Bombyx mori: one gene and its partner. The protein of the gene in region 1 interacts with the protein of each later gene in a pairwise test. Links are inferred from orthologs where the notes say so. Each region holds a gene or a part of one and is shown in the gene's direction. Other genes may lie near its edges.

Region 1 (9,132 bases):
ATAATAACAGGTCCAATTAATGGTTTATAATTAGATTATGGCACAAAACGACAAAAAAACAGCACGGAAGATAAGCGTTATAAAAGCTTAACATTAATTTAACGTTAATTATTTTTCGACAAAGTAATAAATCGCAACCATCGGAACGCGCCGACGGCGATGCTGTCTCCAATGGCGAACCAGCTGGTGAACACGACGACGACTCGGCAAGTCAACAAAGTAAAGCCGAACGTCAATCGAGTACCGCCCGATACGTAAGTCTTATTTGATTCGCCATTGTCGCCCGCCGGGTGATGTCTGCACCTGTATTCCCATCCCATCCCTGTCGTTGTTACAGTTGGCTTAATTTCTTTCACGTCTAGTCTGACTACCTCCTACGTAATATCTGGCATTTCCTAGTCGTACGACAGAGGTTGTGGAACCCTTTTGGATTTTTTTTTAATTTTCGGCATTGCCTTGTCGAAATCCAGCTAGGAAAGGATAGGCGGGAAATAAATTAATATTGTCACTACGGGTGAATGATAGGCATCCATATATTATTACGACGACAATCTATACAATATACGAACAATTTTTTTTGTTTATGATGAGCATATTTTCTTGAAAATTATATTTTGAAAGTTATTGGAAAAAATAATATATTAAAAAATTATGTATTTCAGGAATGAAAAGCGACTGAAAAGTTTTGATAAAAAATAAGACTCTATAGATCCTCACTCACTCTATTAATATACTGGTAAATTACACTGTATCCAACAAACCAGACTAAAACTATTATAAACTATAATCGGAGCCGAGAATCGGAATCGTAAAATGTACACTTCCGTAAAACATGCAAGGAAATGATTTAGGTTCTAAAAGTCCTACGATACACCCGTAAATACTGTATTAATGTCTTGTACTTAGATAATAAATAAAAACCACAAACAGACGTTAATAAACAACAACATAGAGCACAAATTGAAATCAGCTAACCTAATGACAGTTTAAAGACCCTATTGTAATGTTAACTGTTTTTTGTTAACTATTAAAAAAAACTGTTTAGAGAATCTTTCATAACGTCAAATAAGACCTAACCTAACCTAGTTGTTAGGTAACTAGTTACATTAAAAAAAAAATGGTTACCTAACCTAACAAGGGCAATAAAAAAAAGGTGAATTTCAACCACTTAAGTTTAGTATGATTTCAACATAATTATACGTAGCAATTACTGTCATTAATCTGAAAGATGAAAGATGCTCTAAAGCTTACATGACTGTTATTTGCTTGATCGATGTTTTGTTTTATTTTAATATTGTCAGCATTCTAAAAACAGCTATGGTCATAAAATAAATTATTAAACTTAAAATGATGAATTAAGTTGTTTTTTCTAAGTTTGTCCCATTGAAGCTTGACCTCAATGTGTAATTTGAACCCTTATTAGAACAAGAGCACAGAGCACACGAAATATTAGTGTTTATGATAACCTGCTATAAACTGCTATTATTTTAGCTGCTTTTTTTTAAATTTATTACCCGATGACAGGACACACGTTAATAGCAGATAACACGCTATATCTATAAATTAACTTAGAAAATAGCATGTTCTATTGAATAACTGTTAAAGCTGCTCCGTGCTTTGATTGGTTCGATATGTGTATTTTTTATTTAATTTCCTAAGAAAGAACTATAAAAAGATATTAATGAGAAGGAGTAAAAAGAGAAATATTATACTGTCTAGCCGGTTTTAAATAAAACAGAGTTCCGGTATTAAAATTCGAAGATTTGATATTAATTGTTACGCGAATATCTCAAGCAAACCTTCCACTTATCAAATCGAAGAGCCTATATAATTTCTTGAAAATATATTTACCATATATCTAAGTTTAACATACATTGATTAATTAATTTAAAAACAAAATGATTCCGTTTTCGTTCAGCTTAAATTTATTGCACAACTACACCTTTAAGATTAGACCTATTTGGTGTCTATTACAGGAATCCTCAAGATCAAGACACGAATTACCAGGCCTATCACCTTGCCTACGAAGTGAAAAAGCTCATGTAACTCAAATAAATTATATAAAAAGCTAGACGATTTCTTGACTCAGTAGTTTTGGCTCTGTATCGAATTTTAGTACTTTTCGTTTGTAAAATGGTACCAGTACAGGCGAAGGCGCAGAATAATAAATTCGAAGAACATTAAGTAAAAAAAACGTGTCTTAATAAAGTCCTAATAAAAACAATTAACAATGAATTCTATGGAATTGAAGATGTAGCAGCATTTTCTTCGGATTTCACGGGTCGGAGACATAACCAAAATTAACTTGAACGGCTTAATCCCGCGTTTTTTAATGTCATTTTATGATTACTGACACGTGACGGGAGCCAAATGCTGACGCCTGACACCTTAGATGTTCGGAACTACGAACACTGTAATGTAATCATACATCCTACATATAATAATTAAATTTAAAAAAAACGCGGGATTAAACTATAAATTTAATTTTAATTAAATTGAAGATACACTTCGAGTAAAATAATCAATAGATAAAAATAGAAAAGTAATTTGTCGATACAATTACTTCTCCTGTACACATTACCGTTTTTTTTTGTTTTTTTTTTGTTGTATTCCAGAAATTTCCGTAGTACGTAGAGCTTATGTCACGTTTACCCCCGTTTCATGTAATTGTAGATAAATATGAAAGGTTTGTAATATAAAATTTATTACTCATATTATTTAGCACTGTTATCTAGGAGCATAGCATGTTTTGGTTTTATAGAAATACGAAAGTTTAGTTCAGAAATAATTTCTGTTTAGACTTTTATAAATAGGCATTACGTTTTTTTTCACGTTTTCTCGCTATGTTTAAAACAGTACAGTCACCGATCGAGTACATTATTAATACATAAATTGCGTAGTCTATATTATACTGTTATTACTACATTAGTAGGTACCACGATCTTCTTCACAATACATTGACTATAGTATATGACCACAGTGCATGAAATAAAATAATAAAACTAAAAAAATTCCACGTTAAAAATAAAGCAAGTAATCATGTTTGAATTTACATAAAATTTAAGTTTTATCACCCGCAATTTAGCACGAAATTCGTTAGAGATATAGAAATCGAGAAAGGAATAATGTTTTGGATGACTCGACAGGCCTACTAGCAGAAGCAGTGGGGGTAATCAGAACAGCAATGGAGTTAGTCTGCCTGCTGGATTGGCAGACGACCAGTCGAAAGACTTCGACTTTGAAAAGACTGAAATGAAATACGACTCAACAGGCATGTTCCATTGGAGCCCTGCCAGGAATCTTGAAGATTGTATATTAGTAAGTAGAGCTTTGAGTTTTACCTAATTATCACTCTAACAAATTAATTTAAAAGCATTACGTACTAATTGAATGTTCATATATAATTTAATCCCTATGGAGAATTTGACCGCTCAGCATTAAACCCGGGCCCAGATAGACCAGTGAAATTCACCAAACCTTATGCTTATCGAAAAAATGTTCAATATTAAATTACCGATACCGTAAATTAAATAAAGAAAATCTCAACAGGACAGAAACCAAGCGGCTATGACGGTTCTAAATGGTCACGTTGTCGTGTGTCTATTCGCGGATCCAGACTCGCCACTGATCGGCTTGAGGAATCTCGTGATGCCGCTAAGAGCCTCCAATTTCCACTACCACGAGTTGAAACACGTGGTTATCGTAGGAAGCGTCGACTACATACGAAGAGAATGGAAAATGTTGCAGAATCTTCCGAAGATATCTGTATTGAATGTGAGTATCCTTAACGAGCATTAGTTTTTGTGAGGTTATGATCCTGTTTAAATCTGTCTCAATCTACGCGATCATAATGTAATTACTTCTAAACGGTTTACTTATAACATAGATTCGCTCTGGGTTTCTAGCCATACCTCATATTTCATTTGCTTGAGTGGCGAATTGCAAAGAAGACTAATATTGTCATGCGATATTTGACGACCAAACAACCAGGAAAAGAAAACCACCAAAATAATATATAAAGATATTGATAGCACTTAATTCCCGGTCAATGCCAAGTTGATTATCTTCAAGTCTACGAATCAGCATGCTAAATTGAACAGCTGAAGTTGACAGTCAACAATGATCGTTCGGTATATTTGTTTAGGGTTCACCGCTAAGCCGGGCCGACTTGCGTGCAGTAAACGTGAACCTATGCGACATGTGCTGTATCCTGTCAGCGAAGGTGCCATCGAACGATGACCCTACACTGGCGGACAAGGAAGCTATCTTGGCTTCGTTGAACATCAAGGCGATGACGTTCGACGACACGATAGGAGTGCTCAGCGCCGGCGCGGGGGCCAACGGCAGCAACGCGCAGCCGCTGCCGGGCCAGCCCCCCGCGCCCGTGCTGCTACAGAGGAGGGGATCCGTATACGGTGCTAATGTACCTATGATTACAGGTACACTGACCGCAGTATGTGAGGACATAATTCTAGAATATTAATATAATATAGTGTCATTTTTGAAAAATTTTAGAAGCGTTTTTTTTTGTGGGAGGAATATCGCTGGATTTTCGCCTAAGTGATGTAGACTGATAGCCTAATGTGCCACTCGTCGTGTGATTTTGAAAGATTAATTATGTTAATGTTAATTAAGTAGTTTTAATGAGGTGAAAGAACATACGATACGATAAGATGCAACTATACCAAAGTTCAAATCCTGCGAGCGGGTACCAATTTTTCCCCAGTCTACCCACGTATCTACTACTATTCTGCCTATTTATGACGCGGAGCGGTCGAGTATACAAGTGAGTCTCCGACCTCGTCTAGTGCCATTTGAAAATAATGATATTCTTTCTGCTCATCAGAGCTGGTGAACGATAGCAACGTGCAGTTCTTAGACCAGGACGACGACGACGACCCCGACACGGAGCTGTACTTGACGCAACCGTTTGCCTGCGGCACTGCGTTTGCCGTCAGCGTACTCGACTCTCTCATGTCCACTGTAAGACTTGGCTAAATCAGCATTTTAATCTTCCATCGAAATATATCAAAATTTGTAGGATATTCCGCGGCTAATTCAATGTGACCAAAACGTGAATATTGTTAATCGAGTCACTGAACGTTTTTGCAGCATTAATTTATTGACAGATGTCACAATAATCAAATGTCAAAGAACAACATCTCAGTCCGTAACCCATAGATAATAAATCACATGATATGTAAGGCGTAAACGGAACGGAACGTAACGGCGTACGGAAACCGCAAAGTATTCGATAACAATGACAAAAATAAACGCGAGATTAAATCGCAAAAATCGTTTTATTTATGTCTACGACTCCCGAAATCGGAAATGATAATTAAATTAACATTACCATTAATGTTATGCAAATCTATGAATCTTTAGTCGGGTTTCCCAAAGTTTGACCAATTTCGAACTTGCAGACGTACTTCAACCAAAACGCGTTGACACTGATCCGTTCGCTGATAACGGGCGGCGCGACCCCCGAGCTGGAGCTGATCCTCGCCGAAGGTGCCGGGCTCCGCGGCGGGTACTCCACGCCCGAGAGTCTGGCCAACAGGTCTCCGCACTACTCACTAAACAAATACCAAACTCGATGATCTCAAAACGACTTTTCAAATTCGCATCGTTAAAAACGAAAACATTGAAATCACTGGTGGTAGGACCTAGATGGTAGGACTAAGATGGGTGGACGAGCTCACAGCCCACCCGGTGTTAAGTGGTCACTGAAGCCCACAGACATCCACAACGTAAATGTGGATATCTGTGGGCCACAACGTAAAACCCACCTCGAGATATAAGTTCTAAGTTCTCAGTATAGTTACGACGGCTGCCCCACCCTTCAAACCGAAACGCATTACTGCCTCACGACAGAAATAGGCAGGGTGGTGGTATCTACCCGTGTGGACTCACAATACGTCCTACCACCAGTAAAAATTATTTATTATATATATATATTATGTATATTTATTGATCAATCGTTTCCAACAGAGACCGGTGTAGAGTGGGCCAGATATCCCTCTACGACGGTCCCCTGGCCCAGTTCGGAGAGGCCGGCAAGTACGGGGACCTGTTCGTGGCCGCCCTCAGCACGTACGGGATGCTGTGCATCGGCCTCTACAGGTTCCGGGACACCTCGTCCTCGTGCGACGCGAGCAGCAAGCGCTACGTCATCACTAATCCCCCCGACGACTTCTCGCTGCTGCCCACCGACCAAGTTAGTAATCTTTTTTTTTTATTGCTTTGATTGCTTTGATGTGTGGACGAGCTCACAGCCCACCTGGTGTTAATTGGTTACTGGAGCCCATAGACATCTACACCGTAAATGCGGCACCCACCTTGAGATATAAGTTCTAAGGTCTCAAGTATAGTTACAGCGGCTGCCCCACCCTCCCGAAACGCATTACTGCTTCACGGCAGAAATAGGCAGGGTGGTGGTACCCACCCCCGCGGACCCACAAGGGGTCCTATCACCAGTAAAAAAGTTGTACTCGCAAAAGTTTCATTTTTACCCCCCAAAATTTCATTTTACCCCATTTGGGGTAATTCACCCCGGTTCCCCGACCGCTGCCTTAGGATATAGCAGCGGCGGGCTCCAGACGCGTGAGTGCGGTCTGCTTGCAGGTGTTCGTGCTGATGCAGTTCGACCCGGGCGTGGAGTACCGCGCATCCCGCCGCGCCGCGCCCGCCCCCAAGGACGACGCCTCCTGACTATTGCTGTGCAGCGCCCTCACCGACGGGCCCTACTCCTACATCTAGGGGGCCCGGCGTCTCGACAATCCCGCCCTGAACTGCCCAAACCCTCCACTGCACAATCGAAACTCTTAACTCCAAGTGCTTTACTTTGAGTTGGAGACGTGATTGGATACAGTTTGACGGTTAAATCTCGTATCACATTTTCTGATCCTTGTCATTTATAGAGTACCAGCGACCCTTCAGAAACTGTAATTTATTATTGATTTCTCCACTATTTAATAATTGTTATTATACATATAAACCTTCCTCTTCAATCACTGTATCTATTAAAAAAAACCGCATCAAAATCCGTTGCGTAGTTTTAAAGATACATTAAAGATACATACATAGGGATATAAGGACAGAGAAAGCGACTTTGTTCTATACTATTTAGTGATACCATAAAAACAAGATTAAACTGTCAACTGTATTTAAATCGAACCCCAGAATACCTTCATTTAAAAAATATTTTAATTGGCCTTTTTTTTACTTTTACTACACAGTTCAAAATAAAAAATCCTACTTCCGACATTGCGTTCAGTTAAATCAATCATACATCGCCTTTTATTTGAAACACAATTTTGCCTGCACTACATTACAACGCTTATAAAATTATATTATTTTCACGATATTATTGCTGCACTTTGATCCAGCACTATTTTAAGTCTAAAAGCGACTATAAAGCTATTTTAAATTACGTGAAACACGAATAAAACACCAAATAAGACAATTTATTTAAATATGTTTATTAAATTTTAAGTAATGACAAAATATGTATATTAGTTGAAAATGGTCAAAATATTAATGGCGTTGGTTTATATTTTTAGTTCATAAGTGTTGTAAAAATTATCTTTGAATTTTTGAAATCTAGATTGACACAGCTCTATGCTATATTACAAAGACGCAAAGCACTTTTGTTCCTGTTTTTTCTTCATTTTTGATTCTCTTTTGTCAAAATCCACCATTTTGCGCTCCAAAAATAACAATGGCGACTGCAATTTAAAAAAAAAACAATTTTATTAAGTAATGTTTTTTGAGAAGCGAACAACTTTAATCTTGAATATTAAAAGTTAGTACCTAAATAGTTATTTGTGATCGAAATAATGGAACCTTTTAAACTTTTAATTGCAGAAAATTTTAGTTTCACAGTAAAAATATATCTGCATCGGCTACCTTCGAACTACCTTAAATCTAGAATTTTCCATTCTATAAAATTCACTGAACTTTTTTTTTTCTCATCTGTTTTCTAAATATTTAACACCTTTCTATATGTGTATATCTGATATGTGTATTTTTAGCATTTAAAATGTTCATTGACTGATTGATTTAATAGGCAATTTGCGTATTAATTAAATTTGTTATTTCACTTAAGTAGCTCTTAGTATCTTTTGAATTATTACTTCTTCGCTTTAGCTGTAAGATATATTATACTTCATGTTATTCTTAAAGGTGCACGTACTATGGTAGATTTTGCTCATTTCTCTTTATCTTTTTGTAAATAAACTTTGGACACCTGTAGTTGTTTGGTATTTTTTGTGCAAGACTGAAAATAATAATTTGAACGTCCATAAAACCAAAGAACTGCACGAAAAATATAAAACGAACTTGTTATGTTTAGTCTCATTTTAGTTTATATTGTTTCATTTTGTTTATTCAATAAACTTTAATTGTGTAGCTTTTTTATTTTTTTTATTTTTATTATTTTTTTCCTACGGGCAGGGGATTGTCAAAGTGGACGTGATACATGGCGCTGCACAAAAATAAGACTTATGAACTGATACAAATTAAAAAAAAATTGCCATTGTGAGCTCTATATAAACAAAATTGTTTTCATTTTATTATTTTGCGACGGACACTTGAGTACAAAGTGATATTTCGCTGTAAATGTGTGATATTATTTTTCGAAAAAAAAATTATCGTTATTTATTATAGAAAAATAGGGCTTGTGAAGCCAGGCAGTGTATTTAGTATTAACTCCGGGTGCTTTGACGATTGTGGATTCTCATAGTTAACTACGTTGATTGTATTAGATGACGTTTTAATCGACTGAATCAAACCGCACTGACATAGTGTGACACGCAACATCGAATGAACTATCGATAACAGTTCAGTCGATTAAATTAACGTTATTAGAATTTAATAGAAAAATAGTTACATCACCAATTTTTAGATGAATCGTTTATATAAATAATATAGTCAGCATTATACTTATTTATTCAATTTAAAATTTACACGATGTTTGATGAAATCAGTAAGTGTACCTTTATAGAAAGCACGCGACAGCTACAAATTAATAAATATGAAAATATTTCAATTAAAATGAATACCTCATTGTAACGACTAGTGAGAATATGTGAGAATGTTATTTAAAAGTCATAATTTAAAAGTTTATCAAAC
Region 2 (9,838 bases), on another chromosome or scaffold:
GTTTTATTAAGTTCATTTTGGTATATGAATGGTTACATAATGAATAAACTTGTTTCAATTATTTTACATTAAACATGTGACAGAATTTATGACCTGACTATATATGTAAATGTGCTAATAAATAAATACAATGTATGCCAATGTAGGTACTTGCTATTTTACTAATATACATACATATAATAATAATAATAAATAATAAAAATCATTTATTGCCTTTCACATCACAGAAAATAAAATGGAATACAAATAAAAGAAAAGAAAAAAAAAAGAGAAAAAGGCAAAAGGAGGTGGCTCAGCTATTGTAATATATAACTATAATATAAATAGGTATATTATAGGTACCTATATGCTTTATGACATTTATGACACGGTGAGGAAGTATCCATAAATAGTCGAAGGTAAAATTGCTAAGTACCATTTTCTCCTGTGTTTTTCAAATGATTCCCTTTTTTATTTGTTTTCTTTTGTTGTGTGTTTGTTCACTATTGACGATTTAGCACTATTATTAAACAATGCAAGGAAGAGTTAGTTCCTTATTCAAAATGTCAATAAGAAAAGCGAAAATTTACCACATAAATTGAATCTAAATCTTGAAATGACAGTGATTATGGTGGAATTTCAATCATTTCGCCAACATTTTTTTTTCTATATAAGTGGTGTTTAGTAGCTACCGAGGTCGATAGACACCAACCATGAGGTCGAAGCGTAACTTGAGGTCTAAGCTTCGATTCACAATATATTGTAGACCGTAAGACTCGTGTAATATCAAGTATCCTACTCTACAAATTAGAAGATATGGCACAATAAGCCCTAGCACCCGAACTTGATGTAGGAATTTCGATAGTAAGTAAGGAGTATCACTTGTATCGACGAATGGTGTAAAATGCTCACATGTAGTGGCTTAAGGATTCCGTACTACGGAGTATCCAATTTACAGATAAAAAGGTTGCTATTTAAGACAGGCGTAGGTCAGGCTATTTGGTCATGTAAACTACTAAGAACTCTTAGGTGGAACTTACATGACATACCGTTCCATCCATAATTCTAGAACTTAATGGAACGGTTATGAACTCAACAATTTCAAATTATTTGTAATAAATGTGATGGTAGAATGCAGATCAATTGACAAAATCATAGTTTTTGCGTAACTACTAATCGTACGGTTAGGTTCTTCTACATCTTGTCGTGAATGTTAGTAATGTGTTCCAGTTTGAAGGGTTAAACAGCCTTCATAGAATATAATTGAGACTACAACCGCATGCCTCAAAATGAGTCGCCTTATTCACTTTGTCATGTCTATGAGCTTTAGTACCCTCCTACACTAGGTGGGCCGTGAGCTAATTCGCCATTTCTAATTTGATGTTCCATCAGGTATCAGCAAGTGAGCAACGGACACGAACCAGTCGTGGAAGAACGTCATCGCCAATCGAGTCAGAGCCGGCAGAATTTACCGTGCAGCCGTCAATGCAGCGGCCTCGTCAGGTACGAGAACTATGTCGCCAACTACTGGCCCTGATTATAATTAAGTACATTTACGTTTCTCTCGCATGTCTTACTCACTAACCGGATCAATAGAAACGATGGGTACGTAACTTATCATAACCAATCTGAGTGACGTTCTTTGCTAGTGTTTTGCTAATACATACTATTATATAATAAAATTATGTATGGTAATCGCAACAAACAAATATCTGTAAAGTCAACAGTGGTCAGAATTTAGTAACATAATTAGTTCGAATTCGTAATTTAAATATTCTTTCTGTGATTTATTTTCAATCTCATATATGGTTGCATTAATTATGTTGATAAATTTTAAAATGGTTAAATTGACTTCAGTTAGAAAACATTGTTTATTTTTAATTCTTTTCATAGAACCAAGAGTCAAAAGATTTTGCTCTTACGCCTGGCATAAACATACAATAACATTTTCTATGCCTGAATGAATTTACATATATTAATTAGATTAAGATTGCACATGTGGATTTTCCATTTGGTAAATATGACGCTCTAACCATCAGATTTTTCAGATCAGCTTAAAAGGCCATATTATTATTATCTGATGGTTTCGATTCAATTAGTAATTATTTATGGTTTATTTGTTTTCAACAGCAACAAGATTAGCGAACTGGTCCGGAACTCTCGTAAGGCGGAGCCTCCGAAGCCCGTATACAATATCACTCACGATCCGGAATCAACACTACGAAAGATCCTTCGCAACTCCCCGCAAATACTTGCAACGCCGATGTTCAGTTCTGATGACGATTACACCGAAGGCCCGTTTAGATTTAAACAGCTACTGAGGCCCACACTGGGACCTACGGAGAGCTTGCGGAAGAGAAAGGTCAGGAATTCACCAGGACAGAGCCCCTGGATGTCTGACAGTTCGCAAGAGAGTGTCAACCCTAAGCAGGCCTTCAATAAACGCCGTCCCCAAATTTGTATGGGCGTCTATTATAATTAAGCAATTGTGGCGCATTGCAGTATTCATAGTGAAATAATAAGTTGTCAAGTACGGTGTGTACTATCGTGTACAATATCATTACTTTTTTGTGTGTTTCAAATACATGTTCTTAAGATTAAATTTAATACGACAAAAAAATCAGAACTTTTCTTAGAAAAAATACTTCGAATGAGTTTTAAAAAATCATTTTGTGCTGATTAAAAAAAAATTACATCACCTAATTAGATTCAGATTTTAAATATTTTGCATTTAGTTACGTGATATTTTTTTATTGCCCTTGTAGGCATTCGAACATATGGCCCACCTGATGTTGAGTGGTTACCGCCGCCCATAGATTTCAGCAATGCCAGGGGAAGAGACAAATCGCTGCCTACTGATACTTTATATTATACTTTTTACTTATATATTATACTTTATACTAAATATTATTATACATTATTCAAAAACTAAGTTTTTTTCTTCTTCTCAATTAGCAATTTATTTGTTTATTTAAATTACCTCAACCATACTGATATATTACTGAATAAGAAATTTGGAAAAAATAAAATCAATTGGTATCGTTGAAATTTATATTCTAAAATTTGTGTTGTTTTTGTATTAGACTATTTAATTTTTGCTGACTTTCATATCTTGAATCATCATACTAAATTCATCGGTTTAGCAATAATAAGATATTAAGAAATAAATGTACTTAATAAAATACATTAAAATCATGTATATTATAGTTATATAGTGACATAAGTTCTTAATACTATAACTAATAATGAAACACCTTGCTAATATTTTATAAACATTTTTGTCGTTAATTACAAATACCAAAGTTATGTTTAAAGAATATTTTTATGAAAATATGTTGATATTATACGCTTTATCATTGCGGGAATATCGAGAAGTAAATCATTGACGACTATTGTGATAACGTGCCAATGATTATTTTAATAAGAAAACGTTTTGCTCGCGTAGTTTGAAAAAGTATGTGAAAAAATAAAATTAATCCTTAAACTGTGTTTTATTATTTACTTTCCTTTTATCGATATTCGATTAATACATCAGAAACAACAGCAAAGAATGGACGCGCACGTGTTCGTCGGTCAGTCAAAAGTTGCAGTGTAACAACATCGGAAGCGTATAACAATATGAAAACACGTACGCGTAAGTTCATACGTAATCAAAACAAAGTGAAGCACGTGAAGCTAGGAGTATTTAGATGCTAGTTGATTGTAAACGATAGCCAGGTGGCGGGCGGCGGAGGCGGAGAGGTGGCCAATGAGGGCGGCGCGGAATATTGCGCGCGCACACGCGCAGTCGCGCCCGCGCCAGCCATGGCGGCCGCCGGCCTGCCTGATCTCGACCTCAGACAGATAAAAACGCGATCCATCGAGAGAACTCTGCTCCCCCTCATTAAACAGGTACGGTACGCCTCCTACCGACCCCCAGACGTCACCTTCCTACCTCAGGCGGTTGCTTCGAGGTCTGTGACGTTCCTGATTACCGACAGAACACGTCTACGACACTGATCTGACGTCGCGTGGAGCTTTTACGATATCTAGTTTTACGTACCTCGTCTAAATTCGTAGTATTATTTTCGGAACTAAAGCGATTTAGAGCGTGTCGTCGCTTTGACGTTTCACTTTAGAATTTCCCGCCCGTCGCAACTATCTGTTGCGTTCAGTCGCGCAATCGCCTTGCGAGAGTTCACGGACGGCGGCGGATTCGAATGGACGGAGCATAGTTTGATACTTCGACTGGGCAGATTTCTATGACAATAGCCATTATTTTTAAGACTTCATTGTGGTGATATTTGAATTAGAAAATTCGAAAAGGTAAGAAAAAAAATCATCACGTACGTCAATTTGTTTGGTACTTAATCAGTGCTGATAAAGTGCTGAGGGCGGGCGGCCACGTGGGTATTGAACGGGCGGGGGCGGGGGTTGTGGATCGATGCCTGACGGGCCGGCAGTGCCGCGGCGAACGCGGGCGGAGCGGCTCGGTGCCGACACGGCAACGTCACGGAGCACGTGCGCGCGCCCGCGGACAGCGCGCCGTCGAGCGCGCGCCCACCGCCCGCGCGTCACGCGCTCTCTCTCTTGCGACATGGACGTGCTTTCCGATGACGATGAATACGCGCGCCGCGAACGACAGGTAGGCTCTTCCTTAATGAAACGAAACTTCTACTATGAGCTCCTGCATCGTTTTAACACGATCAGTTGTCGTGGTCTTACCCTGATAAAATACAAGCAGCAACAAGTAGCGGCATGTGGGTAATTTTCTACGACGACGTCAAACGGAGTATTACAGACCTAGCGTTGCTCGTATCCCGGGCAAATCATGCAAATGAAAAGTAGATCTTAGACTAGACTACTTTGTCTAGATTATATAACAAAAAAAAACTTAATAGAAAACTTTTTTGTTTTCCTTACATTAAACTTGAGCGTATAAATGTAGAGCATGTTTTTTTGTAAAGCTATTTTTTTAAAGTACTTTGCAAAATTAGATTATTTTTGGCTTATATGTATTACAGCTATCACATTTTATAATCTTACTAGCGACCCGCCCTCGCTTCGCTTCGGAAACATTATAACACACAGGAAACAAAAAAAAAAAATTTAAAAAAGTAGCCTATGTTCATCAGGGACAATGTCGGCTTCTAATGGAAAAATAATTTTTCAAATCGGTCCAGTAGTTTCGGAGCCTATTCGAAACAAACAAACAAACAAATCTTTCCTCTTTATAATATTATTAGTTTAGTATATTAGTAAGTATAGATTATAGTAAAACTACATCTAAACAACATTTTTTTTATTTAAAAAATATTTCACCTATTTAAAGAATTCCGAAAATTGCATTTATAATATGACCAACATGTAAGCCAATCTAAAAGTTTTATAAATTTTACTTACTTTCGCAATTCTTCAAATTAAAAAATAAGTTCGTCGCTACACGAACACCGTGAGAATGTATCGAGTGCTTATTTAATAATAAAACTACAAATGCTCGCCATCATTTAAAAAGTTTGGATAATAATCGCCTTTTATGTAATGTTAGAGCCGTTTACAAAAAATCGTACTATTGACTAAGAATTTTTGTAATAATTCAAAACAAAACCTACATTTACTCATGAGCTTTCATGAGAGAGTAATTGTATTGTATATTGTAAATTACCTTTTTTTTTTATTGCTTAGATAGGTGGACGAGCTCACAGCCCACCTGGTGTTAAGTGGTTACTGGAGCCCATAGACATCTACAACATAAATGCGCCACCCACCTTGAGATATAAGTTCTAAGGTCTCAGTATAGTTAGTATAGTTATAACGGCTGCCCCACCCTTCAAACCGAAACGCATTACTGCTTCACGGCAGAAATAGGCAGGGTGGTGGTACCCACCCGCGCGGACTCACAAGAGGTCCTACCACCAGTAAAAAGACTTTCATGAATCGGTTTTGGCTCACGACATTTATCTTTGTTTACCACGTATTCGTCTGTGCCAGACAGACACTGTGAGTAAGGTCTCGTTGTTTTATGTTATACTCTTATTAATTACTAAAGAAAATATTTTTATTCACTAAATACAACGTGTAGTTAAGACTATTACGCAATTAAAAAGATCAATTTTGCAATATTTGTATAATGAACGATGCTACTTCATAAAGCAAATACGGCAAATACGTTTTTCACATTGAGTTATCCCACCAATAATGAATTGACTTTACATTTTTTTATTAACTTTTTCTTAACTGGCTTAGAGAACAAAAATATGCAGACAAAATGATCAGCACAAGCTGATTGATTACAATACAATACGGTACTAAAAACACACACCACCAAATGTTTTTAAGACTATCAAGCACAAATAAACAAAACATTTGATATATTTAAGATATTTACGATTCAATCTCACATTGATTATTTTTATTTTACAATTTCAGATTGTTTAATACTCAACAGTTTTCGTGCTCAAGGGCTAGGATTTTTTTTTGCTTAGATGGATAGACGAGCTCACAGCCCACCTGGTGTTAAGTGGTTACTGGAGCCCATAGACATCTACAACGTAAATGCGCCACCCACCTTGAGAAATGAGTTCTATGAGTCTCAGTATAGTTACAACGACTGCCCCACCCTTCAAACCGAAACGCATTACTGCTTCACGGCAGAAATAGGCAGGGTGGTGGTATCTACCCGTGCGGACTCACAAGAGGTCTTACCACCAGTAATTACGCAAATTATAATTTTGCGGGTTTGATTTTTATTACACGATGTTATTCCTTCACCGTGGAAGTCAATCGTGAACATTAATAGAAGTTATGTTTCTGTTTTTAATATTAATAATTATTATTAATTTCCGCGACTGGCCAAATCCAAAAGTTAAGAAAAAAAAACTATGTTTATTATTTCATTGCTGCGTAAAAGATAAAAGTCCAGTTTCATTATCTGTTGGTAACATTTCATATATTTTCATTGCACTAACTGGTAGACTGTTTAGAAAATGTCTTTCTATGTATTAATCAGCTATCGGTACCGCAGCGAATATTGTAATAGTTCTATGAGCACATATTTAGATGACATATTCTAGAAATTTCGAAAGAGGTAATATCTGATTTTATGAGATTCATATATTAGGGGTTAAATATGAAATTGCCGACTGGTACTGAAAAGTTGAAATTGGGTTTTTTTTTTCATTTAACATATTTATTTGATCAAAATATCTACCATTATTTTCTATACATTGCTGCCATCTAATAGGAAGGTCATTTATGCCTTTGCGATAGAACTCTGGTGATCTAGATTCTACAAACTATGTGAAAGCATTTTGTACTGCATCCTGGGAAGAAACCTTTTTATCACGTAGAAAATTATCCAAATAACGATAAAAATTGAAGTCTAGGTAGAAGCAAGGTCTGGCGAACACTGAGGGTGACGAATGGTTATTAATATCATACTTTAACCCCTTTTATACGGTTTTGTTCAATATGCGACTAGCAAAAAAGTAGAGTATATAAATAATAGTTTAAAATAACTAACAAAATACGCTTTTATAGAAAGTCCAACTAAAAAATAGAAAATAAATTTTAATTAATTTGAATTAAAAATAGTGCAAGAAAAAGCGATTTTATTGTAAAAAAAAGCGTGGGGTGCTTTTCAGGATATTATCAAAATAGTCCTTCTACTCATATCTGTTCATAAAATATTTATTACTACTGATACCATGCACCCCATGCATCTGTGTTTTAGTTGGATTTTCTATAAAAGCGTATTTGTTTAGTTTTTTTAAACTATTATTTATTTTTAAGTTGAATTTCAATTTTTTCAATGTATTTTTTATTATTATTTATTTTTTTATTTATGTACACACAAAAAAGAAGACATAGTACAGAGTAATAGGAAAATTATCTACAAAGGCACTGCTTATTTCTTTAAGAAATCTCTTCCAGCAGACCTGCGAGAGAATTATGAGAATAATAATTAAAAGTGATGAGTGTGTGTAGAACAGCTAAAATAACAAATACAACATGAGAATTATAGTAATGCACATACATACACATAGCAAATATTTTTAAACTTGAATACAAAATATTATAAGTAACACAGTAGGTATATACGAAGAGTATAGAGCAATGATCATTCGGTTGATGAGAGATAGAATTGTTTGACCTTGTATTTAAAAACAGAAACATTAAATATTTTTTATTTAATGTTGAATGTCATCGGTCCTTAATAAGTACACCTAATTTCCGACGTTCTAAAGGGGGTCAAAATCATGTTCAAAGATTCCGTTACATACTAACATACATATGTCTGAAGCTACTAATAAAAGCGTATTAAAAAGTGATAATTTCGCAACAGATCAGCAATCTCGTGGCGACGCGGAACGAAGCTGCTGGAGGCGGTGCGGCCGTGCAACGAGTGGGCGCCGCTGTCTGCTGCGCCGTGGAGCGCTTCGTGGCCGTCGGCGAGACCATCGCTGACGACAACCCCGATGTGAGGCACAACATGGTACTCGCCTGTAAAGAAGCTAGAGCAGCGGGTAACTATACATAAAAATACTACTAACGCGTTTCCTAAAAAAAAATTAAAGTTTTGTGGGACACCGGATAGCAACGAAGTTCCTTATTATAAAAATATTAATTTTAAGTTCTATTCGAGGTATAAAGAAAATAAAACAGGAGGTTTCGCAACAACCCACGGTCATTCGGTAACGTGCGAACTTATTGTGGTACACTTCATTCACGGTTGTTTGCATAAGAGTTAGTGTATTGCGTAAACGAACGCTCTGAGATCGTGATCAATGAATGATAAAAAAAATTGTTATTTTTTGTACGTTATTACAAAGTTAAGTCGCACACTGTGTGCATTACTAATTTGTACGTTATTACAAAGTTAAGTCGTATACTGTGTGCATTACTAATAAAAAAATTACGTTACGGACGTTTTTCCCGTTTATGGTACCCCTCCGCATCGTCCCATAAGGAACTTCGTTCCAAAAACTACACCGGACGGAACGGACAATTTGTACCGGTCGTTTCTGACACTCTTAATATCTAAATATTTCATTTTTTTTAAAAATGTGTGTAATGCATATGTGGTAGAAGTGAAACCTTCAAAAAGTTTGGCTTAAAGATAATGAGACGAATACAAAATTTCGGAAAAATGATAATTGTATAATAGGTTTTAGTAATGATCATAGTGATACAAAGTTAGATAATTATTTGAAATTTTATTCGTATATATTACACAGATTTATTCAGAATGTGTGAAATACGAATATTAGGTATGAAGCAGGGCACAAAGAGAACCACTAATATAAGAAACAGCTGTACAATGCTTTCTATCTCCTTTTCTCCCACGTTAAATATTATGAATTTAAGTGTTTGTCTCTTTTTACTGTAGCTTTTTGGTTTCATCGACTATCAAATCACAAAGATGGAAAAGAGGAAGTTTTTTTAAAAACTTACAAAAAAAATTGGCACTGTCACGGCGATGTAACGTAACTTAAAATCAGCTGATGCGCGAGGTTAATAATGGTCTGATGTGACGCGGCTTACGAAGTATCAACTTGCGTAGTCTAGTAAATAATTGATGGATTGTGTTTTATTTGAGGTAATAGATGATTAGCGCAATATATTCCGCACTTTTTAATAATTTCCCTACCTTTACCCTTTTAAATATACACTAAAAATCAGTTTACTTATAATTTTTGCAATCACGGTAAGGATAAATAATTTTTAACACCAGAAAATGTAGAATATAATAACAAAAACATCAAACTAAGCCGCTAATCGATCTTTAATAATGAAGTTATGAGAATCGATAATTAAATAAATGAAATATATTCATATTACTTTAAAATATGTTACTGAAACAATGCAGTATTCATGTATG

The links.
Region 2: the proteins of calcium-activated potassium channel slowpoke (region 1) and alpha-catulin interact in a two-hybrid assay, tested with the Caenorhabditis elegans proteins (2 studies listed by BioGRID, with this or other methods). The link is inferred for Bombyx mori from reciprocal best matches to the Caenorhabditis elegans genes slo-1 and ctn-1.

The regions. Positions count from the first base shown.
Region 1 is NC_085115.1:13,416,011-13,425,142, reverse strand, and holds part of calcium-activated potassium channel slowpoke, read left to right. Parts: intron 1-124; coding exon 125-254; intron 255-1,976; coding exon 1,977-2,042; intron 2,043-3,146; coding exon 3,147-3,318; intron 3,319-3,549; coding exon 3,550-3,774; intron 3,775-4,144; coding exon 4,145-4,439; intron 4,440-4,846; coding exon 4,847-4,983; intron 4,984-5,423; coding exon 5,424-5,560; intron 5,561-5,991; coding exon 5,992-6,217; intron 6,218-6,624; coding exon 6,625-6,711; 3' UTR 6,712-9,132. UniProt on the Caenorhabditis elegans protein: Potassium channel activated by both membrane depolarization or increase in cytosolic Ca(2+) that mediates export of K(+). Its activation dampens the excitatory events that elevate the cytosolic Ca(2+) concentration and/or depolarize the cell membrane.
Region 2 is NC_085111.1:8,801,220-8,811,057, forward strand, and holds the start of alpha-catulin, read left to right. Parts: upstream 1-4,435; 5' UTR 4,436-4,555; coding exon 4,556-4,603; intron 4,604-8,302; coding exon 8,303-8,483; intron 8,484-9,838. Other genes in the region: myosin-IIIb, read left to right, coding at 1,372-1,482, 2,110-2,461. UniProt on the Caenorhabditis elegans protein: Required for slo-1 potassium ion channel clustering at presynaptic terminals and in egg-laying muscles; clustering of slo-1 mediates the intoxicating and sedatory effects of ethanol on worms.